2 linked regions of the Cricetulus griseus genome follow. The protein of the gene in region 1 purifies or fractionates together with the protein of each later gene. This does not show direct contact. Links are inferred from orthologs where the notes say so. Each region holds a gene or a part of one and is shown on either strand. Other genes may lie near its edges. The genes, in order: Ppp1r15a and Eif2s1.

Evidence for each region.
Region 2: the proteins of Ppp1r15a (region 1) and Eif2s1 purify together in Homo sapiens (affinity purification with western blotting; 4 studies listed by BioGRID and IntAct, with this or other methods). This does not show direct contact. The link is inferred for Cricetulus griseus from reciprocal best matches to the Homo sapiens genes PPP1R15A and EIF2S1.

Annotation. Positions count from the first base shown.
Region 1 is NC_048599.1:154,420,956-154,432,353, reverse strand, and holds Ppp1r15a (protein phosphatase 1 regulatory subunit 15A), read left to right. Parts: upstream 1-3,848; 5' UTR 3,849-4,069; intron 4,070-4,598; 5' UTR 4,599-4,607; coding exon 4,608-6,122; intron 6,123-6,541; coding exon 6,542-6,799; 3' UTR 6,800-6,903; downstream 6,904-11,398. Other genes in the region: Plekha4 (pleckstrin homology domain-containing family A member 4), read right to left, coding at 376-459; Tulp2 (tubby-related protein 2), read right to left, coding at 7,387-7,520, 7,737-7,908, 9,227-9,325, 9,426-9,540, 10,023-10,135, 11,291-11,398. UniProt on the Homo sapiens protein: Recruits the serine/threonine-protein phosphatase PPP1CA to prevents excessive phosphorylation of the translation initiation factor eIF-2A/EIF2S1, thereby reversing the shut-off of protein synthesis initiated by stress-inducible kinases and facilitating recovery of cells from stress.
Region 2 is NC_048598.1:124,775,976-124,787,516, reverse strand, and holds the start of Eif2s1 (eukaryotic translation initiation factor 2 subunit 1), read left to right. Parts: upstream 1-5,185; 5' UTR 5,186-5,344; intron 5,345-7,800; exon of another isoform or gene 7,801-7,931; intron 7,932-10,392; 5' UTR 10,393-10,393; coding exon 10,394-10,634; intron 10,635-11,541. Other genes in the region: Atp6v1d (V-type proton ATPase subunit D), read right to left, coding at 86-203, 4,573-4,613. UniProt on the Homo sapiens protein: Member of the eIF2 complex that functions in the early steps of protein synthesis by forming a ternary complex with GTP and initiator tRNA. This complex binds to a 40S ribosomal subunit, followed by mRNA binding to form a 43S pre-initiation complex (43S PIC).

The sequences.
Region 1 (11,398 bases):
TTATTTCCTTGCATGTTGTTTTGCCTAATCTATGTTCCTGCCTCCACCTCCCCAATACTGGATTACAGTTGTGAACCACCCCACCCTGTTGTTAGTGGGTGGGTCGAGGTTTATAGACTGCAGAGTGAGTTCCCTAGTCCAGTCAAGGGTAGACACCTCCTCTCAGTCTAGGTTTGTTTGTTCTTCTGGCTTAAAGTTAGGAAGACTGAGAGGGGTGGGGACAGAGCTGGGGATGTCTCCAAAATTCCCAGCTGCAGCTGGAACCAGTCTGGCAGACCCAATCACTAAGGGTCCGTGTGATGGAACAGCTAGGAAATGGGACTGAACTGCCCTTCGCCCCCTTCCTCCCTATCCCACTGGGAAGTGTGGAAGGACCTTGGTGCTCCGGCTGCTCACAGAAGATGTGGTAGAAGCGCTGCTGGCCAGGCTCAGGCTGCTCCGGGGGCGGCCCTGCTCCATGGAGAACTTTGGGAGAAAGAGAAAGGGGCTGTGTCTCTCCGCTGATGGGGGCTGAGGACAGATCTGGGGTCAGGGCTCAGGTCGGAGAATGCTGAGGAGAAAGAAACTGTTGTTTGGGAACTGAGGGACTGGGGGAGGCCATGGTCAGGGATCGCATACCAATAGTAGTGCCAAGAGAGGTGGGTGGCTCTGGCAGCTGTGGGGAGGGGGCAGCTGTTTGCAGCAAGGCCATAAGAATAGGGGCTCCTTTATTCCAGCCTGCTGAACTCTGGCTAGGAATGTGACCCCCTGTGTGCACAGGGATTTTACTCCTTGCCTCCTTCAGGGTGCCCTGGGCTACCTGTTCCTTTCTTCTCTCATGAACCCCCAAACCATCTTTGTCAGCTCCCCAAGACAATTCCTAAGACACCAGGAATGAGCATCCAGGCAAGTCCCTCCCAGCCCAGCCAGGGACTTACCCAGCTCTGGTGTCCCAGTGACAGGTCTGCCACCTTTTTACGTCTCAGATACTGCCTCTCAGGGCTGCCTCTTCTCACCTGATGTATGACTGCTTCAGCTCTGTCTTGTTTATGAGTTCTTGCTCACTCACGCTCCTCTCTGTCTCTGTCTCTGTCTCTGTCTCTCTCTCTGTGTCTCTCTCCTTGTCTGCCTATATCAACCGTTTCCAGTCCCTCCTCTTACCTTACTGCTCCTGTCTAACTCTCCCCTCCCTCCCGTCTCTATCACCCCCTCAGTCCCTCTCTCCACACTCAGTCTCTTTCGCCCCCACCAAACACATCTGTTTCCTTTCTTCTCTTTCAACTTCTCTTCCTCACTTTCTCTCTTCCTCTCCTGGTTTCTCTTTCCTCTCTGCTGGGCTTTCCCTCTCTCTGGCAGCCGCCCACGCTGCTGCCTCCCCTCCCAATCATGGCTATCCCCGCCTCTTCTGGCCTCCCCACTATACAGCCTGACCCCTGGCTCAGCTGCCCCCACAGCTAAGGAGAGGGATTGGGATTCTTCAACTCTTGGCTATCCTAAGCTGTGTCTGGGACTCCTCAACATTTGGAGCAGAGACTTGAACCCCAGGACACCATGGGTTTGTTGTTACTTGGGGTGCTGAGCTATGGTTCCTTCAAGAGAGGTGTCCTGGGTCATTTGAAGAATGGAGTCTCCTATTCCTGAAACCTTGGAAAACTGGGATACAGCCTGGCTGGTGGGTGCCTGTGAAGGTATGAGCTATAAGTCCGACCTCAAGGACTGTACACCCATGTCCAGAAGGCCTTGACTAAATGAGGCAGTGATCGTTAGCTCCTATACTGGAAGGAGGGGACCATAGTCCCAGAGTACTGGCCTCTGGCAAGGACAGGGTTAAGTGGCCAGTTGGAAATTTCTCCCTCAGATCAGACTGATAACCCATTAAAAGGGAGGTGTGGTGACTTCATACATTCTGAGGAATATGGCTGGGCTGTAGATCAGAGCTTGAAGTGTAGCTCCAAGGGAGCACTGTCCAGTATGTGGGAGGCCCTGGGATCCACCCCCAGAAACACCACACACACACACCCCCACACACACACGTATACCACACACACATCGCATACACCACACCAGGCAGGGAGAGCAGTGGAGATTGGAACTGGGTCTCTGGATTTTTACATCTACATCTGTGATTTAAGCAGAGCCCCACCCCTACCAGAGTACAGTCCAATCAAAATTTCAAATTGCACAAACAACTTTTATATAATTTTGAAGCAGTGAAGAAGGCAGATGCCTGCCTATGAAAGTAACAAGTCTGTTTAGCAGCGTTCTTCATACAGTATTTATTGAGGTCACACTTGTAACCTCTCTACCGGGGAAGCTGAGGTAGACCTACTGAGAGTTCCAGGATAGCCTGGGTTGCATAGTCAGTTCCAGGCAACCCTGGAATACAAAATGGGTCCCTGTCAAAAGACAAATAAAACAAAGGAAATAGAAATAAATCTTTTTTAAAAAGAAGTCTCCACTGAAGACAGGCATTGGGCTGGGGTCACTGCTTCTCTATACACAGTAGGAAGATTGCCCAAAAATCAAGGTTGGCCCGAGTAAGTTCCAGGACAGTGTAGACTAAACTGTGAAACCCTGTCTTAGACAGACAGAGACAGACAGACCCACACACACAAAACAACCAAAGGACTAGAAAGATGGCTCAGGGCTTGAGAGCACTTGCTGCTCTTGCAGAGGACCGGAATTCAGTTTCCAGAACCCACAAGGAAGTTCACAATCATCTCTAACTGCAGCTCTACAAGATCAGAAGCTATCTTCTGGCCTGCTCGTGCATCACATTCGGAGGTCCACATATACACACACACATATACATGCATATATTTTTTATGAAGGGAAAACACTCATACACAAAATAAGGGAAAATATTTTTTTTGAGACTATGTCTCACTATGTAGCTCTGGTTGTCCCAGAACTCACTATGTAGATCAGGAGAGGCTCCAAATCAGATCTGCCTGCTTCTCCCTCTGAGTGCAGAGATTAAAGGCATATGCCATCATGGCTCACGAGACAAAAAAATTTTGCCTGGCGGTAGTGGTGCACGCTTTTGATGCCAGCACTCGGGAGGCAGAGGCAGGCAGATCTCTGTCAGTTCGAGACCAGCCTGGTCTACAAGAGCTAGTTCCAGGACAGCCTCCAAAGCCACAGGGAAACCCTGTCTCAAAAAAACAAAAGCAAAAAGAAAGATAAAAATTTTTTTTCTCATGTAGACTTGGACAGTCTGGAGCTAGCTATGTAGTCCAGGCTGGCCTCGAACCCACAGTAATCCTTTCTCTGCCTCTTTAGTTCTGGGATTAAAGGCGCGCACCTCCGCTGCTGGCATTTTAAAGTTTTTTAATAATAAATAAAGCTGGGTGGTGGTGCACGCCCTTAATCCCGGCACTCTGGAGACAGCAACTGGAGGATCACTGATTTCGAGGTCAGTCCTTGTCTTTCAAAAAACAAATAAAAGAAATAGAAACAGAAATTAATTGGGCTGGTAAGATGTGTGCCAGCACTCAGGAGGCAGAGGCAGGCGGATCTCTGTGAGTTCGAGGCCAGCCTGGTCTCCAGGACAGGCTCCAAAGCTACACAGAGAAACCCTGTCTCGAAAAACAAAAAACAAGAAAAAAAAAAAAAAAAGATGTGTGCCTGGCTGAGGAAGTGCAGACGCTTGCTCAGAAGTGATTCGAGATTGACAGCTCGCAAGGTTTGGGCCGAGGACACGCCTGGAAAAGTCGCAATGACGTCACAAAGCCCGGAATTTCCGCGAGAAGTTCGGTGTTGTTTCCCTGTCCCACCTTTCCCGGAGCTTCCGAAGCCCCGCCTCTCCGGTGACGTCAGCAGGTCTCGCCAGGCTATAAAAGCAGTGTTGCGGCTTCCGGCGCAGATTGAGCCAGTCCTCAAGCTGTGGAAGATTGCATGCGACACCCCGCGCGCCCCCCGCATCCCTTCGTCGGGACGCTCCCTGCGGCCGTCTGTGAGACCTCACGTCCCCGAGCCCCACGCCTGAGGGCGACATGAACGCTCTGGCCTTGCGAGACCTCCGGACCCGAGACCGCTTCTGGCCACACGAACCGGCGCTCCTGCCCCCGGGGTGAAGCGCAGCCCGCCGGTGCGTGGGGAATGGGGGAGGCTGCGGAAAGTCCCCGGGTCGGAGAAAGATGCTTCCTTTGATCTGAGAGAAGGCAACCCAGGCCTAGATGGGCCCTTGGGTCTAAGGAAGGCAGAATTTAGACTGTCCACGTAAAGGGAAGGGGGCCTGGATGCTAGAACCGCAGGACCTGTATAGAGCTGGGTAAAGGGAAGGACTCCCGGAGGAGTGGCCTGGGGCCAAGAGGTGGGCAGAGGAGGTTTTAAGGGCGTGAACATATATGCCTGAGGGGAGAAGGGTCCTTAGAAGCCGGATCACAAGTCTGAAGAGGGCTAGGCAGGAGTCTTTGACAGGGCTGAAGAAAGGGGCTTGTAGGAACGAGGCCCCAAACTGTAGGGTGTAAGAGAGCAGCAGCAGGTGGTGGAGGTGGTGTGAGCAGGGCTATTAGGAATTTGAGGCATGTTAGTACTGTGACTATTTATATTTCCGTGACTCAGAGCTGTGGTATGATATTTCCAGAATGGCTTCTAAACAATTCCCCCTTTTATAGCCCAGACACATGGCCCCAAGCCCAAGACCCCAGCATATCCTGCTCTGGAGGGATGCCCACTCCTTCCACCTCCTGTCTCCACTGATGGGCTTCCTCAGTCGGGCTTGGAGCCGCCTGAGGGTCCCGGAAGCCCCAGAGCCCTGGCCGGCAGAAACAGTAACTGGAGCAGATCAGATAGAAGCTGATGCTCATCCGGCACCTCCCCTTGTTCCTGAGAACCACCCCCCTCAGGGGGAGGCTGAAGAAAGTGGAACTCCTGAAGAGGGTAAAGCAGCCCAGGGACCCTGCCTGGATGTGCAAGCCAACAGTTCCCCTCCTGAAACTTTGGGACTTTCAGATGATGATAAGCAAGGACAGGATGGCCCCAGAGAGCAGGGAAGGGCACACACAGCTGGCCTGCCTATACTGCTGTCTCCTGGTCTGCAAAGTGCTGATAAGAGCCTTGGAGAGGTGGTGGCTGGAGAAGAGGGAGTGACTGAGCTGGCTTACCCCACATCACACTGGGAGGGTTGTCCATCTGAGGAGGAAGAGGATGGAGAAACTGTGAAAAAGGCTTTCCGAGCCTCTGCTGACTCTCCAGGGCACAAGTCCAGCACTTCTGTGTATTGCCCAGGGGAGGCAGAACATCAAGCCACGGAGGAAAAACAAACAGAAAATAAAGCTGACCCCCCCAGCTCTCCTTCAGGCTCCCACTCCAGAGCCTGGGAGTACTGCTCTAAGCAGGAGGGAGAAGCCGACCCAGAGCCACACAGGGCAGGGAAGTATCAACTGTGTCAGAATGCAGAAGCTGAAGAGGAGGAAGAAGCCAAGGTTTCATCTTTGTCTGTGTCTAGTGGGAATGCCTTCCTGAAGGCCTGGGTGTATCGACCTGGAGAGGACACCGAGGACGACGATGATAGTGACTGGGGATCAGCTGAGGAAGAGGGTAAGGCCTTGTCTTCCCCTACCTCTCCTGAACATGACTTCCTGAAGGCCTGGGTATATCGACCTGGAGAGGACACCGAGGATGACGATGATAGTGACTGGGGATCAGCTGAGGAAGAGGGTAAGGCCTTGTCTTCCCCTACCTCTCCTGAACATGACTTCCTGAAGGCCTGGGTATATCGACCTGGAGAGGACACAGAGGATGACCAAGACAGTGACTGGGGATCAGCTGAGAAAGACGGTCTAGCTCAGACCTTTGCCACCCCCCATACAAGTGCCTTTCTCAAGACCTGGGTCTGTTGCCCTGGAGAGGACACAGAAGATGACGACTGTGAGGTTGTGGTCCCAGAAGATTCAGAAGCAGCTGACCCAGACAAGAGTCCCAGCCATGAGGCTCAGGGTTGTCTGCCTGGAGAGCAGACAGAGGGACTTGTGGAAGCAGAGCACTCTCTCTTCCAGGTGGCCTTCTATTTACCTGGAGAGAAGCCAGCACCACCTTGGACTGCCCCTAAACTGCCCCTTCGGCTGCAAAGGAGGCTTACGTTGTTGAGAACCCCCACCCAGGATCAGGACCCTGAGACTCCTTTACGGGCCAGAAAGGTGAGTGGGTGCTAGGAGCCTAATGGAGTCTTTCCTGTGGTAGCTTAGGGATGTACAGTCCTAGTACTGGATTTGCAATTGGATTTCACACTGCTTTTTTCTTTCTTTTTTTTTTTTTTAATATATAATTTGTACAAAAGGTCCAGATTCTGAGTCAGGAGGCAGGGCCTGGGACCTGAAAATCCCTTATGGTGGAGACCTCAGGGACCCATGTGTTGCAACTTCTTACATGGGAAGGCTGTGTTCACCCTGTTGCAATCGCCTGTAAGAGGCAGGAAGAGTGATAATTGTGGCTCATGGCAGCACAGACATGTCAGTGAGTCAGAGGGACAGTCAGGATGGCAGGCAGGTGACTATTCCAAATAACAAGTGTTTTCTTGTGACTAATTTTTACTTCTTGCCTCTGCCCATCTGTCCAGGTGCATTTCTCTGAGAATGTCACAGTCCATTTCCTTGCTGTCTGGGCAGGACCAGCCCAGGCTGCCCGACGTGGTCCCTGGGAGCAGCTTGCACGAGATAGGAGCCGTTTTGCTCGAAGAATTGCCCAGGCGGAGGAGAAGCTGGGTCCTTACCTCACCCCTGCCTTCCGAGCCAGAGCATGGGCACGCCTTGGAAACCCATCGCTTCCTCTAGCTCTTGAGCCCATCTGTGACCACACCTTCTTCCCTTCCCAGTGAAGCCCCTCCTTCCAGCCTGGACTGCGGTGGGAGGCGTGGCTAAACCCAAGACGTTTCCTGTTATTTATTTTAATAAGAAATAAAGCCTTTTGATTTATACAATTCTTATGTGTGTACTCATAGTATCCTGCTGGTGTATCTTCAAGGGAGGCTAGAAATGAGTTCTGAGACCAGCCTGATCTACATAGTGACTATCTCAGACAGGTGTAAAGTGACAACTAATCCCAGCACTTTGAAGCTGAGGCAGGATTGGCTTGAGCTAAGGCAGACATAACCTATGGAGAGTGGTAGATACAAGCAAGGTATAACGACGTGTATGAAAATGTAATGAAGCCCATTATTTTGTACACTAACTAAAAAAATTTCAAGGTTTATTAAAAGACAGGCCAGGCACAGAGGTGCATGCTTGTCATCCCAGTACTCCGGAGGCGGAAGCAGGAGGATGGGGTGTTCAAGGCCAGCCTCAGCTACCTTGTTGGAGGCCAGACTGAGTATCAAAAAACTAAAAAAAAAAAGGGGGGGGGCATAGTGTGAAGCTTTCTCCAAATGCACAGGACAGAGCTGGTGAGGGATGGTATTTTATTCAGTTACTCACACGCCAGTTTCCCATCGAAACTGGATAAGCAGATGGCGAAGGCTTGGAGCGGGCAAAGAGGATATCGGAAATCCATAGTGAATATGTTTGGGGCCACGCGGCCGAACTGGAGAACCAGGTGGTCCGCTGATGAGCAAAACAGGAAATAGGACTTAAACTCCTGCCTCCCACCCGCGCCACCTTTACCAAGCTGGGAAATGCTAGGAGCCTTATGGACTACATCTCCCAATAGGCCTTGCGACAGCGAGGCTCTCGCCCCGCTTAGGAAACCGCCCAAGGGGTGGTTCTTGAGTGGCCGCTTTCTTCCCGCAAGCCCAGGTCTTCCGGTTGCTAGGAGCTCACGTTCATCCGGGTGAACAATCTGGAAGTTCTTGACCGAAGCCCGAGTGACGCGACCGTGAAAATTGAGCACGTAGGCGCCACTCTCGTCGCTCCAAGATGGGGCCTTGTTCTGCAGTAAGAGCAGCCCGTGTCTAGCACCCTTTTGTAGGCGACTCAATATCGAATCCTGATCCTTGAAGATACAATAGGGGCATCGTTTGTTAGCCCACCCGCAACCTGCTTTTTAGTTCAGATGCACAGGTTTTATTTATTATTTATGTATTTGTTTATTTGAGAGAGTGTCTCTAGAGCCCCATGTTTCTTTTTGTGTGTGTATTTTTAGAGACAGGGTTTCTCTGTAGCCCTGGCTGTACTGCAACTAGCTCTGTAGAGCAGACTGGGACTGTAATTTTTTTTTTTTCTTTTTCTTTTTTATTTTTGAGACAGGGTTTCTCTTTGTAACAGTCTGGCTATCCTGGAACTCACTTTTTTGACCAGGCTGGCCTCGAACTCACAGAGATCCTCCTGCCTCTGCCTCCCGAGTGTTGGGATTAAAGGCATGCGCCACCAATGCCAGGAGAGTTTTGGAATTTCTTATCTCCCTTCCTGTGATGAATTCCATATTTCCAGAGGTAAATTTTAAATATGCATTTATGCAAAAATTATTTATAATGTGCAGATTTATAACCACACACAAGTCATTATGTATAATCTATTGTACATTTGTTGTTAGTCACGGTTTAAAGTACCCAAGCTTAAACTGGGTGGTGGTGGCGCACGCCTTTAATCCCAGCACTCGGGAGGCAGAGGCAGGCGGATCTCTATGAGTTCCAGGCCAACCTGGTCTCCAGAGCCAGTTGCAGGATAGCTAGGAAAGTCTCAAAAAAGGAAAATTAACAAATTAACTTCGGTTAAATATATGTGTGTCTGCATATGTGTACTGTGTGCATGTGAGTGCAGGTGTCTTCACAGTCCAGAAGAGGACATCAGGTCCCCTGTAAGCCACAAGGGTACTGGGAACCAACTCCAGAAATTGTTTTTTCTTTTGAGACAGGGTTTCTCTGTGTAGACCCAGCTGTCTTGGAACTGTCTCTGTAGACCAGGCTGGCTTCAAACTCAGAGATGTGCCTGCCTCTACCTCCCTCCTGTTGGGATTAAGGCATGAGCCACCAATGCCAAGCCAAAAACTTTTTTTTTTTTTTAAAATACATGGTCTCACCATGTAGCCCTGGCTGTCCTGGAACTTGAGATGAGGCTGCCTCCAACTCACAAGGTCTGCTTTTCCTGTCCCTCTAGGTGAGCAATGCATGCTCTGGTAATCACTGAGCCATCTCTTCAGCCTTAGGCCCTGAAGTTTTGAGTCTCTGGTTTTACTTTTTAAGACAAGACTCTGGCAAAGTTATTCAAGTTTCACATGTGACCTGCAAACCATTGCCCCACCTCAGGATCTGTGATGGCTCACCCTGACCATTCTGCTCTCTGCACTGTGACTCCCAACCTTAAAGACTCACATTTTGTGGCTGCACCCTCATCCTCTGCTTCCGGCTGTCCATTCCTGGAAGGATCACAGTCATTTTCCGAGGTCCCCGGAACCCCAAGACATTGGTTTCCTGGGAAAATTAATTAGATTATATTCCAGCTGGCCTGGCTCCTTATGCTTTCTTACCTATTGGCACCCCCATTCATTTCTGCCCCTGCCAGGATACTTACATAACATACAACTCCCAGCTCCTCTCTGATCCGGGCACTGTCTGGGATCCAGTAGTTCCGCTCAGGGTTCACCCCATTATCAAAGATGGTGAATTTCGTGCCCAAGACGTTAGATCTGCCCCAGGAGGGCAGTGAACAAGGTAAAATGGCCATAATGGTGATTTTTACTCTGTTAAGTGCTTTCTCAAACCCATCCTCTAAGGAAAAAAAATCACAGTCCCAGCCCTCTGTTTCTTTGGTATCATTCTAGCATCCTACATTGACTCTTTGGGAATCCTCTTCCCTCTAGCAAGTAAGAACTCCCACACTCTAGACCTCTTTCCCCACAGGCACTGAGGGTTCCCAGCCCTCTGCCTAGCAAAAAGCTAAGCATCCTAAATGCCAGCCTGTGTTCATGGCATCCAAAGCTTTCGTTGTTTTGGATGTTTTGTTTTGTACTTCCACGGCTGGGAAGTACAACCTGCAGAACTACAAAAGCCATCAGGCTTTAGTGCAGGTCTTGTGCTGTGCATGGCAGCATATTGGGAAATGTAGTTCATGTGCCTATCTTTCTCCGGGCTTCCGAGGAGCACCACATAACAAGAAGGCTTAGCCTACCTAACTTTGCCTACAAAGTTGTTCCCATTTCGAGACATGTCTTTGGGGTCCAGGGAGATGAGATAATTTGAGGTTTTGCTTCTTTTCCTTTTCCGCCCAGCCAGAAGGAAATGCTGCAGACCAGAGAAGAGACGTCAGGATTGATTTCTGATACCTGTCTAGAGCCAGGGTCCTGACACAGCTCTGAATATGGGAAAGGCTGTTTCTGGAAAAGATAGAGGCCACACACTGGGAGAAGACTGGGCATATGGAGAGGAGTGTGGCTTAGCTATAGAATGGAAATGCTTTTTTTTGTTGTTGTTTTTTTTTTTGTTTTTTTTTTGTTTTTCGAGACAGGGTTTCTCTGTGGCTTTGGAGGCTGTCCTGGAGCTATCTCTTGTAGACCAGGCTGGTCTCGAACTCAGAGATCCGCCTGCCTCTGCCTCCCGAGTGCTGGGATTAAAGCATGTGCAACCACTGCCTGGCTTTAGAATGGAAATGCTTTGAAGGGCCTACCTAGTTTATACTAGGATTGGGTGGGGTTTGACCACCAAGAAGACTAAGTTGGGAGGCCAAAGAAGGGACCCGCTTATCTCCAGGCAGAGGGAGGTGTGGTAGGTATGAACTCATTCTGGAATGGATAAGGCTTGGTTATAGGGTAGGGAGGACCTAAGCTACTAGCTTCTGAAACTTTGAAGAACTGAGGTAGACGGGGCTGAGAGCTTATAAGTCCTAACACTGTGACACAGGCCTGAGTTCAGAAAAAAAATTTTTTTTTTTTGTTTTTTTGAGACAGGGTTTCCTTGTGTAGCCCCAGGGTGTCCTGGAACTCACTCTGTAGACCAGGCTGGCCTCACAGAGATCTGCCTGCCTCTGCCTCCCAAGTGCTAGGATTAAAGGCACACACCACCACCACTCTGCCAGAAAAAAAAAAAAATTGTTGGAAGGGTGTCACCTTGTTTCCCTGGCTGTCCTGGAACTCATTTAGGAAAGGGCTGCCTTCCTCTGCTTACCAAGTGTGGGGAATAAAAGGCATCTACCACCACCACCTGGCCTTGAACTCCTTTACCTCCAAGGCTGACCTTGCTGACTGCTCTCCTGGTCCTGCCTGCCACCATTTCCCAACTATTATTAGGATTATAGTTTTATGCCACTACATCTGGCTTCAGAAATCTTTAACCATGTTCAAAAAGGGGAGTGACATGCTTCTCAGAGTTGGGGCTTGTTTCCCTTCCCATCTGCCCCTCCCCAGCGTGAAGCCTCCCGGCCACCGAGGGACCGGAGCGTACTGCCACACCGTCCTCCGCCTCCAGGTAGAGGTAGTAGGAGGGGAACATGCCCTTGTCCACGCCATGCTTGTTTCGCACGATGCGGCACTGCACCATGTGGTCTCGGGG
Region 2 (11,541 bases), on another chromosome or scaffold:
GGAGAAAAACTTTAAGTGCCAAAGGCCATGCTTGATTTTCCCTAGACGTAAATAGATATCCTGTTCTAAGCAAAGTTTATCCTACCTCTATTATTTTCTTCAGGATCTGTCGAAATCGAAGAGTTAAGGCATCAGATTTTTTCTTCAGGAGGTTTCGACCAGTCTGTGCTCCTTTTAACCGAGCTTTCATGATGGTCTGTGCCCTACAAAAACAAAGAAAACGCATTTATTGTTAACATTTAAAAGACACAAAAATACCTCCACAGCAGATTTATGTGCTGTCTTACAAGAACAAAGAAACGAATGTTTTTGTTCAAGTGAAAATAACAGACCTACCTACAAGAGACCAGAAATGGCTTTCTTTGAGAAATGAGGTTTCGAGAAAAACCTCATGATCTTACTTTTCTACTACTGTATTTTATGGTACATTCTACACCTTATCCACAATGATGCATTATATTTCTATTACTGGCATGGTGTTAAAGTGCTTCCCTGTTATAAACCAAGGCCCTGTTATCAGCTGATTATTAACTTTTTAAATGTGTCCAGTAACAAATGCAAATATACGACCTGTAAGTGGCAAGCTAACCTTGGAGTGAAGCCTCCTAAACTTAGTGCATTTTTTTCCTCACCAGACGTTCTAACCCCGAAGTAAAAGTAGCAGCCTAAAATGATACTGCTGTTTTAGTTGTCACATGACAGATAAAATTTAATAGTGAAAAGGTGTTTGGGTAATGTCTCAACAGATTGCTCAGCCCAAACACTAGGCAAAATAGCATGCATGTATCAATGAATCTGTGGGCAAATCCTCTGATTACTAAAAACTTTCACTAAGAGGTTAAAGTAACTGGTAATTAATTCTACAAATGGAAAAAAAAAAAAAAAAAAACTTCGACTTTAACTTTAGGAAAGTGGGACTCAGAAAAGTAGAGCAATTTCCCCACAGTTACTCACTGAAGAACAGGCAGGCAGGAATCTGAACCAGATTTGATTCCAGAACCTGCCCAAGACTCAAAAGAAGGCTCCAACCTCAGTTTACCAGACCCCCCATTCCACACTGGCTCCCCTGAAAGATGCTAAATTGCAGCACCAGAACAGTTCTCCATCTGAAAGGTAGTTAGCAGTGGGTGGTTGCAGAGACTGGTCTCACCAGAGGCCTAATCCAATGAAGCTGCTTCAGTTTCCAGCCTGAACAAGAGCCATCCACACCAATGTGTACACTGAACATTCTGCACTGTTGACACTAAATACCAGAATTGAGATTCAAGATGGGGTGAAGGACTGACTGGGAAGATGAGTCAGTGTGTAAGAGCACGTGCTCTTCAAGCATAAGGAACCAGTGCCCAGGTAGACAGCCGGGCAAGTCTGCATGTGCCTGTAACCCCAGCAGAGACAGACAGATCCGAAGAGCTCCCTGATTAGCCAGTCTAGTCCAAACCACAAGCTTTCCAGGGAGACTGTCTCAACACAAAGTGGGGAAAGCAATAGAAGACATAAGACATCCTGTTCTGACCTCCACACACCCACACCCAAACCCCCACACCCACACCCCCCACCCCCCCCCACACACACACACACACACACGGAGGGGGGAGAGAAAGTTGGACACGATTTAGGTTGATTGTAGCACTACAGATACCTACAAATTTGGAGCTCATAGATGAACTGACTAATAAACTAAAACTTGAGTTCACTCTAGATGTCTGTACTTCTGTGAATAGGAAGTTTTCAGTTACTGAGCTTCAAGAGCAAATGAGCTGAATATGAAGTAGTGAATGCCTGTAATCCCAGCACTTGAGGGGTAGAGGCAAGAAGACTAGAAGTTGAAGGTCAGCCTGGGATATATACATAGTGAGTTAGAGGCCAGCCTAGGATACATAAGGCTATCCCACAAAAAAAATAAAGAAAAAGAAAAAGAAAAAGAAAGGGAAGAAGAGGGAAAAAAGGGTGACTTGTCCGAACATTTACAAGAACCTAGACTTTACCTGACTTTTATTAACTCTAAGTTTTTGTGCCTTTTTTTTTCCCCCAGCTTGAGACAGGGTCTCATTTATCCCAGGCTGGTTTTGAATTCATGACCGTGACTCTGCTTCTTGAATGTTGGCCTTAAAGCATAAGCCACCATGCCCAGTTTTATGTGGTACTAGTGGCTGAAAGCCAGGACATTGTGCATTTTGGCCAAGTGCTCTACCATCTGAGCCACATCCCTAGGCCTTTTGGGCCTCCTTTGTTTCCACCTAAATTTGTTTCATTTTCTCTAGTGATACCTGAATGAAAGCAACATTCCACAGACAACAGCACCAAATGTATGCAAATAGAGTCACAATCAGTACTGTGTGATCTAGCCTAGAGCTGTTAAGCCTGTTCCTTTCTGTTACAGAGCTGCTCAGCCTTAGAAGAAAAGAACAAAGAAACAAGAAGTATGACCTTCAGCTAAAATAGTGACTTTGTCTCCTGCTGAATCAAACACATCTCACTGTATGACAAATAACCTGCTGTCAAGCTGTGGAAAAAATATTTACTTCCTACACCCGACTTCCTCTAGACCAGCTGAATGTTCTCAAATAACAGTTTTCACCCTCACACAACTATCCTTTTTCTTGCCTAAGCCCAAAGAAGCTCCTAGTCCTAAATTAAAAGTTCCAAAGTGATAATAAAAACGCATCAGCATTATGAATAGTGATTAAATATGGCCAGACATTATTTGAAAGAGTGAGACCACTGACAGCAAGGCAAAAAAAACAAAAAAACAAAAAAAAGTGAGCTCCATTCTGGTACATGAAGATATGCCTGGGTGTTTTAAAGAAGATGAAAAATGAAAATCACTAAGATTGGTGAGTCTACCCCTGACTGGGTCAGCTGCATCTGCTTGATGACAGACAAATTAGGATTCTAGTCTCCCACAGAGACACAGAGACATCATCCTTCTGGTCCATTGCCTTTCAAAGAAGGGTTCTCTTAGGTCCCTGACACATGATTTATACAAAATATATATCCAATTGGATATACCCATTAATATATGTTCTGTGGAAGAGAGGTCTAGGATCAGGTGTTAGCTGACACAAGTATTTACTTGTGTCAGCTTTGAGTTTTGTTTGCCTCAGGCAGCAATGGTTAATTTTACTTTTGAGGAGTTGGAGGATTCAACCCAGGGCCTTGTGTGTGCTAGGCAAGAACTCTGCCACTGGTTTCTAGAAGCCATGTTGGTGTCTCAGTAAAGCTTACATTACATGTTGAGTTTGGAAATCACCCCCTAGGGAAGTCTGGATCTTTATCTGTTTCACAGGCCTTGCATTTCTCCACAACTAGCCCATTTGTACAGTTAGTACAATCTGCCATTTCAAAGTCAGTGAGGTGAAGGCTAAAAGGGTTTTTAAAAAAATTATTAAAGCCAGGCGTTAGTGGTGCATGCCTTTAATCACAGCACTTGGGAGGCAGAGGCAAGCAGATCTCTGTGAGTTTGAGGAAAGCCTTGTCTACAGAGCGAGTTCCAGGATAACCTGCAAAGCAATACAGAGAAACCCTGTCTCAAAAAAAAAAAAAACCAAAATAATAATAATAATTAAAAGTCTTTCACTCATTCAGAACTACACATGCCCTGGCAGAGACAGAAATTCAGTCTAAGGTTTAAATATAACTAAAGAGTCTTCGGAGTCTGTGAGGAGGAAAGAAAAAGGATGAGGAAAACATTACAGTGTCACACACATACCCCACCCACCCCAATACAGAAGCTCAATGAAAAGACCTATAGATCAGAGTAAAAACTGACTTCCTTTTTCAGAAACAAGAGAACACAAATAAGAACAATCTGTAAGTTATTATGCATATTTGAGGAAAACTTCAAAATTTCCTTTACAAACGCCATTTTCCCCTGACAAAGCTGTCAGACCAAAACAGAAAGGCAGCCTGCAACTGAGCTGATCCCAAGGCGGGGATTCAAGGAACATTTCTGTGGACCTCCTATGCATTTAAAGATGCCTCCCTCATCCAGGAGATAGCTCATAGATTGGTGGGAGAGAAGATCCCACCACACAAATATCCGATTGACAACGTCTTGAGTGACACTGCTAGAGGTAGAAAAGAATACAGTTATCACGAGGTTGAAGGGGTGCTTCGGGAGCGCGGGTCTGTCTGTTCCCACGGCAGGTGACATTGGACGGGATCCAAGATTAAAACCGACAGCTGTGCTAGGTCGACTCATACAATGCCACTTCGGCTTAGGGGCTGTCTATACGCTTCCATTCCGTCTGACAGCTTTGGTCAAAACCACCTTTGCTTCTCCGTCTCCCCTCAGCACTGTGAGGCAAAGATGGTGATGACTCAGTTATGTAAACTGTGTGTGGGGAAAATGAGGAAAGCCCAGCAGGCGGACCCTCTTTCGTTTGGACTGGAACCACACTTTCCCCAGTCTGTTCCCTCAGGAGGAGCAGACGAGGGGGCAGAAGGACCCTGGGGGAAGCTCTTGAGCGGCCCAGAAAGCAGGGAAGCTCGCTGGCGGCCGAGGGCTCGCAGGGATGCGCTCCGGGAAGGTGTTCCTGACCCTGGAGCCACTTGTCCTATTCTTTCACTTACATTCGCGACGGGAAGATTTCAATCCGGTCTTTGCCCGACATCCTAACGGTGACTGTTCGGCTCGGGCCCCCAGCCGAGCAATCGTGACTGCAACACCGCCAGAACTGGCTACCACAGCGTCCTCCACCACGGGAGTCAGCTGACGGTGTCACTTGACCCTCTCGCGTTGCTAAGAGGCTACGGAATACCGGTCCCTACTTCCGGTTCCTACTGCGAGAGGACTGAGAGGGAGGAGAGGGCTGGACGCGAGGGACGCCCGGATGTGGAGGCGCGCACAGCCCGGAATTCCGGGTCCCTCCACAGCCCCTCCCGCCGGCGGCTCGCCGGTGCAGGTTGCAGCATGCTCCGAGTGACGAATCAGAAGATCACGCCCCTCCCCTTCCTCGGCTTCCCGTCTTTCGTTACAGCGCCGTCTGTCGGTGGACTAAAATTTAAACGTAACCATTCTGGAGCAAGAAGCCGGCTCTGTCCTCTTCTTTAAGCCCTGCAAGTTCTCTCCGCAAAATCTACCGAGCGCCGAGGACGCGGATTTTTCAGGCCGCCCTGCGGTTCACACCGCTCGCATTTGGAGGACCACGACTCTATGGTCGTGGTGACGAAGGGCCTTTTCTGTCGGCGCTTGCGCAGTGAGAGGCGGGGCCGCATGCGCGCTGGGCTGAGCGAAGCGCACGCTGAGGAGGTTCGGCGTCCGGGGCTGCTGTGCCGAGTCTCTTCGTTGCCATTAAGGAGCGCGGCGTGGGACCCTAGTTCGGGATTCACACCTACACCGCAGGTGACTGGCCCCGCGCCTCGCTCTCCCCGGGAATTCACTTTCGTTGTGTTCCGTGACAGGAGTGGTCGAGCGAGGCTAGGCCCCAGGCTATCAGCCCCGGTCCCCGTCCGTGCGCGGGAAGTGCCCGGACCCCGTGGTCCCCGCCCGCCGGTTCTTCCCTGGGTCTTCTCGCCGGTCGGGTGTCTAGTGCTGCGAACCACAAACGTGGGTTGTTGGGGCGGAGGGACCCGCGGAGAAACGTGGCCCCTAGATTCTTAGACCTTCTGGCGGGGAGGCCTCGGGGGGACGCCGCGACACCCCAGCCTTACCTGGCTCGGGACGATTGGGCGCTTTGCTTTTACCGGGCCTGGGAATTTGGACTTTTTTCCACCCTCCTTTTCCGCCCCAGGATACACCAAAACTTTCCCCTGACTCTGTGGACACTGAGGTTTTCGCTAAAGAACCAGTAGGATAGGTAGATCACCATGTTTAAGTTTTTTTTTTTTTAAAGCAGGTTCAAGGTAGTCCATAATATGACCATTAAAGTTGAAGATTGTGAAGTTTTCGTTCTAGTTATGCGTTTCGGGAGCGTGAAATCATCCCTGGAATTGAAAGACCAGGCCATATCGGGGCTTACTGGCCCTGTTTTTACTACTGCCCGAAGAGAACTGGCATCTTTTTTAATTATGGAAGCTATAAGCCTGGTATTAAGGCAAATTTAGGATGCTTCCATTTTCATTACGGAAGAAAAGGCATTGTTTCTTGAAGAAAGGGTGCATCCCCGAAGTCTTGATTTTTCTCCTCATTAAGTTGCTGTTGTGAGGCAGGGAACTCCACTGTTCTCAGCATTACATGAAATAGTAGTGCCTTTTTTTCAGTGCTTATGACGCAGGATGACAGGCGCTGACTCTCAGGAGGTGTGGTTGTACTGGTAAACTTCAGAGCTGAACAAGTCCTTTCCCAACACAGTTCACTTTATTTTGGAGTACTCATTCCTGTGTCCACTATGGTGACTTGACACTGTACTGGCTCTAGAAGACAAACCTACTGCTAACGGGCAAAATACTGATAATGTAAAGTATTTGAATTTAACTTCGAATTTCGGTAATATCTTTTTGGGGGGAGGGGCTTTTTTTTTTTTTTTTTTTTGGCTTTTTTTCGAGACAGGGTTTCTCTGTGTAGCTTTGGAGCCTATCCTGGCACTCCCTCTGGAGACCAGGCTGATCTGGAACTCACAGAGATCCGCCTGCCTCTGCCTCCCGAGTGCTGGGATTAAAGGCGTGAGCCACTGATGACCGACTTTTGTTTGTTTTTGTTTTGTTTTTCTTCCCCCGAGACGGGTTTCTCTATAGTTTTGGAACCTGTCCTGGAACTCGTTCAAGACCAGCTGGCCTCAAACTCAAAAGTGATCCGCCTGTCTCTGCCTCCTTAGTGCTGGCACTAAAGGCCTGCACCGCCACCACCACCTAGTGTGTTTTTGTTGTTTGTTTTTTACATCAGAACAACAGCCTGTGTGTGCCTGTAATCCCAACTACTTTAAAGGCAGAAGTGGGATCTTGAGTTTGAGGGATGTGCTTTAATCCCAGCACTCAGGATGCAGAGGCCAGCACTCTGTGTGAGCTTGAGGCCAGCCAGAGCTACACAGTGAAAACCTGTGAAAAACGGGGTGGGGAGAAAGCCTAACCTAGTCTCATACTGTGATATGTTGAGGCTTTGTGGATAAAAGACACGTCAGATTTAGTGTTAAAAGACTTGGATTTGGCCGAGCGTAGTGGAGCACACCTTTAATGCCAACACTCTCGAGGCAGCGGCAGGTAGATCATTATGAGTTCGAGGCCAGCCTGGTCTACAAATCAAGTTCCAGGACAGCCCGAGCTGTTAAACAGAGAAACCCTGTCTCAGAAAAAAAAAGAAAAACAACAACAACAACAAAATCCTGGGTTTGATTCCTGTATTTTTAGTGCTTATGTATTTGTCCTTGAATCCTTGAAGTTATTTAATATTTCTGCTCTCTGTTTGCTGTTATTCCTTCTCTGGTTTTTCATAGCACCTTTTGTTTGTTGTCCCACTAGTACTTAATTCCTTAGGGAAGAATTTTTGTGTTAGTATTGTTTTGTGCTTAGTAGTGACTGCCTAAAAAAAGTCTTAGCAGGTTAAATTGCAAAATGAAAAAGTCAGAATACTTTGAAAATATGAAAAGGACTGAATAAATTATTGATTTCTGTTTCATTGACAGAACAAGTATGGGCTTTAAAAATTGTTTTTTAAAGTTACGAACATTTCATAAAGTGATTTAGTCAGCCAATGTGACAAGAATTCCTTTGTAGTTTCAGGCTACTTTCTACTGTAAGTAACATACCATTCGCAGTGTTCCTTTGTTTATTCTTTATCTTGGGCGAAGGTTGTGCCTGCTAAAGTAGTAGCTATATCTCCCTTCTGTGTCCTCTTACCCTGTTCTTTTGTTCTTTAACCAGCAGATTAAGCCAAAACATCACCTTTACTATTTGGGAAAATTTGTTGACTAATTAGAATTAACAGCTGTTAAATCTCCTTAAATTGTTCCACTTTTGTTTATTGAAAGTCTGCTTGTCAAGTTCTCCATATACAGGTATTTGAAAACATTTGTACCCCTACCCTTAAGAGAAGCTCTGTTTAAAAATGAAACAACTGTTTCCAAATGGGTAAATCTAGTTGAGTGTCGAATTTCTTTTGTTTACTAAATCCCTGTTTTGTTGAGCTGAAAAATGAGTCTGCCACATGTTGCTTTTGGTTAAACAGTGCTGTTGGTTCTGTCCTAATTCTTAGACCTAATTTGTGATGTATTTTCTAACACTGAATATGTGTATCAGTATTGCTTTTTGTTCAAGTTAGATGTTTCTAGTTATTATTAGTTTTTTGAGACAGGGTTTCTCTTTGTAGCTTTGGAGCCTATCCTGGCACTCACTCTGAAAACCAGGCTGGCCTAGAACTCACAGAGATCCACCTGCCTCTGCCTCCTGAGTGCTGGGATTAAAGGCGTGAGCCACTGACGCTGGCGTGGTTATTTCTTAATACTGTGTCCAGATTTTAAGAGCATAAACCTGCTCAAAATTTAATAGGCTCAAATCTTGACTTTCACTGCACATCAGGAGACTGAATTTCATATGTATAAGCAAAGAGCTTTTTATTCAAGCTTGAACTTGGACCCTATGTCCATCCAACATAGTGGTGAGGTCAGAGTCCAGTTGGGGTGGGGTTTTTATCATAGCAGAAGTTGAGGGTGAGGGGATTTCTAAGGTTCAGGCTTACATTTGTCTATGGTGTCTTGGTGAAAGGGGGGATGTGTTAAAGACATCTGGTGATCCTATCTATAATGGTTCCAATGTTAGGTGTTTTTTTGGATAATCTGTTCCTGGATATTGCCTGGGTGGTCTCAGTTTGTGGTCTTTCCTGGAACCAGGTATTGCTTTAGGGTAAACTGAAACTCAGGCCTACTCTTTGGCTAGTCACTCCATTGACCCTGTCATGGCTGGGCCCTACACCGGTTAACAAGAAAGTAAGTTACTGAAATTTCACAATTATTTCCTTAGGCTTTTAGGTGCTATGTACTACCTATCTTTTGGGCTCTGACACAGTAAGTAGGTTATGATTAATAGGAAAACATAAAAGTCCTCAGCTACAATTAAAGTTTGAGGACTTCCTTTTTAAAGTATAGTGCTAACTGTGGTGTGATTTTTCAGCATATAGGTCACTAAAGAGATGGTGCTGGAAACTGGGTGGATCAAAGAGAATAATTTTAGGTATCTTTAAAGGATGGGGATTAGAAGACACTTGAGCTGTGGAGATTTATAAAGCAACTCACAAGACTAGGCATATTTGTAAACAAAATAAAAATAGGACTGGGGTAAAGCTTGGTGGTGAAGTACTTTCCTAGGATGGGCAAGACCCTAATGTCTCAAAGTATTGGAGAATAATACAAGCTAGAAATTATAATGACTGAATTAAATTGCTTTTTTTAAAAGGAAATAAATGAATATGAAGTCTTTTTTTTTTTTTTTTTCCTTCCCCAGAGACAGCATTTCTCTGTAGTTTTGGCTGTCCTGGAACTCTCTTTGTGTGTATGCCAAGCAAGAAAATGAAGTCATTTTTATTTTGTGGGTGTTGTGCTTGTATGTATATCTGCACTATGTGCTTGCAGAGGCCAGAAGAGGGCATCAGATTCCCTTAAATTGTACTTGCAGATGGTTATGAGCAGTCCTGTGGGTGCTAGAAACCAAATCTGCATTTGCTGGAGGAGCACCCAGTGCTCTCAGCCACTGAGCCATGTAGCCCCTTCCGTTGTTATACTGCAATTTTGGCTGCAGTGATAATTGACTAGAGGTGCAGCTCATGAGAGCAAAGAATTGCTTCATGTGTAAATAGAAACTCAGCTCAGTATGCAGCATCACAAAAAGTATTGGCTATAACATTTACCACATTGGTTAAGGAGTAGTCTTCCCTTGGTATGCTGTGTGGTAGCATATGCCATTTGAGCCAACTTGGAGACAGAGTAGCTTAAGAATGTTAAAACCGTGTTATAGCGATGCCTCCTATTCCATGATATTTCTTAAAATGTTGGGTGATGGTTTATTATATTTTGGGGGTGGTTTTGCTTTGCTTTTATTTTGAGATAGCATCTAGCTATATAGCCCAGGCTGTCTTCAAACTTGTAGTCATTTTTGGCTGAACCTCGGGACTTCGGGATTACAGGTGTGCACCACAATGCCCTACTTAAGTGGTAATATTAAAATAGTGTTTTACTCTTGACATATTCCTTTAATCCTCAGGTTTCACATCACTTTATAGATAGTCATTATTTTTTTATTGTTCCTCTAAAATGATTGCTTAAGCATTATGAAACTATGGAGCAAATAAAAACTAAACCTTGGTTCCTGGGTATCTGTCCATTTTCTGACATTTAAGACATTTAAAGAGATTAGGAGACTAGTGTCTACTTTCCTTTGTCGTGATTGTCAGGGTCTTTGAAATAATTTTTGCCCTAACTTGACTATTTATGTATTTGTTTGTTTGTTTGTTTGTTTAAATTGCAGAATGCCAGGTCTAAGCTGTAGATTTTATCAACACAAATTCCCTGAGGTGGAAGATGTAGTGATGGTGAATGTAAGATCCATAGCTGAGATGGGAGCCTATGTTAGCTTGTTGGAATACAATAACATTGAAGGCATGATTCTTCTTAGTGAATTATCCAGAAGACGTATCCGTTCTATAAACAAACTGATCCGCATTGGCAGAAATGAATGTGTAGTTGTCATTAGAGTGGACAAAGAAAAAGGTAAGTGAGAAAAAATATAGCTAAGAAATATAAATTATAAAACTACAGAAGTTTCCTGTTTAAAAAATTTACTTAAAAGTATATATTTTATGGTTTAATTTAGCCATGCCATTGTGAACATACTGTATTATGTATTACAATTATGCATGACTTTATTTATGAGCTAAATAAATGAATGGGAAAAAAGTACATATTTTAAAATGCACTGTCATTAAACTACTAAAATTCTTTTGTACATGAAGTTGTTAAAGATGATTTTGGAAGCTGAGAAGATAGCCAGTCACTTAAGTGCTTGATATGTAAGCTGGAGGAGGCTGAATTCAATCCCAGAACCCAAACAAAAAAGGCAGGTTTGGAGGCACAGGCTGGTAATCCAACCCTGGAATGTTGGGAAATCTGAGGATTCAAGACCAGCCAGCTGAACTTACTAAGTGAGTTGCTGGCCATCCAGAGATCTATCCCAAAAATCAAACTAAAGAGCTCCTGAGAGTCTCCTATAGCCTTGACTCACATGTAACATACATGTGTTTACACACATGTAGCCACATAAACATACCCACATCTGCATATGTACAAGCCTCATTTCATTTGTCTAAAATTTTACCAATTAGCCAGCTAAGCAAGCATCTTTTACAGTAATAGTTGTTGTTGTTTAATAAGTACATTCCAGAGTTATTTTTGTGGCCAAATAACTTGAAACTTCGGTATTTATGAGGATTTTGGTAATTAACTTATAACCAAAAGGAAAGAAACCCAGAGTAGTAGTTAATTTATCTGTATTTGTAAGGAGAGTCCCCTCGGAAGAGGGAGCTCAGAACACGAAGACAGCAAGTTCTCAGTACAAAGGTTTATTAAGGGGTGAGAGGGCTGCCACCTCTGAATAGGACAAAGGCAGACAACAGGTGTT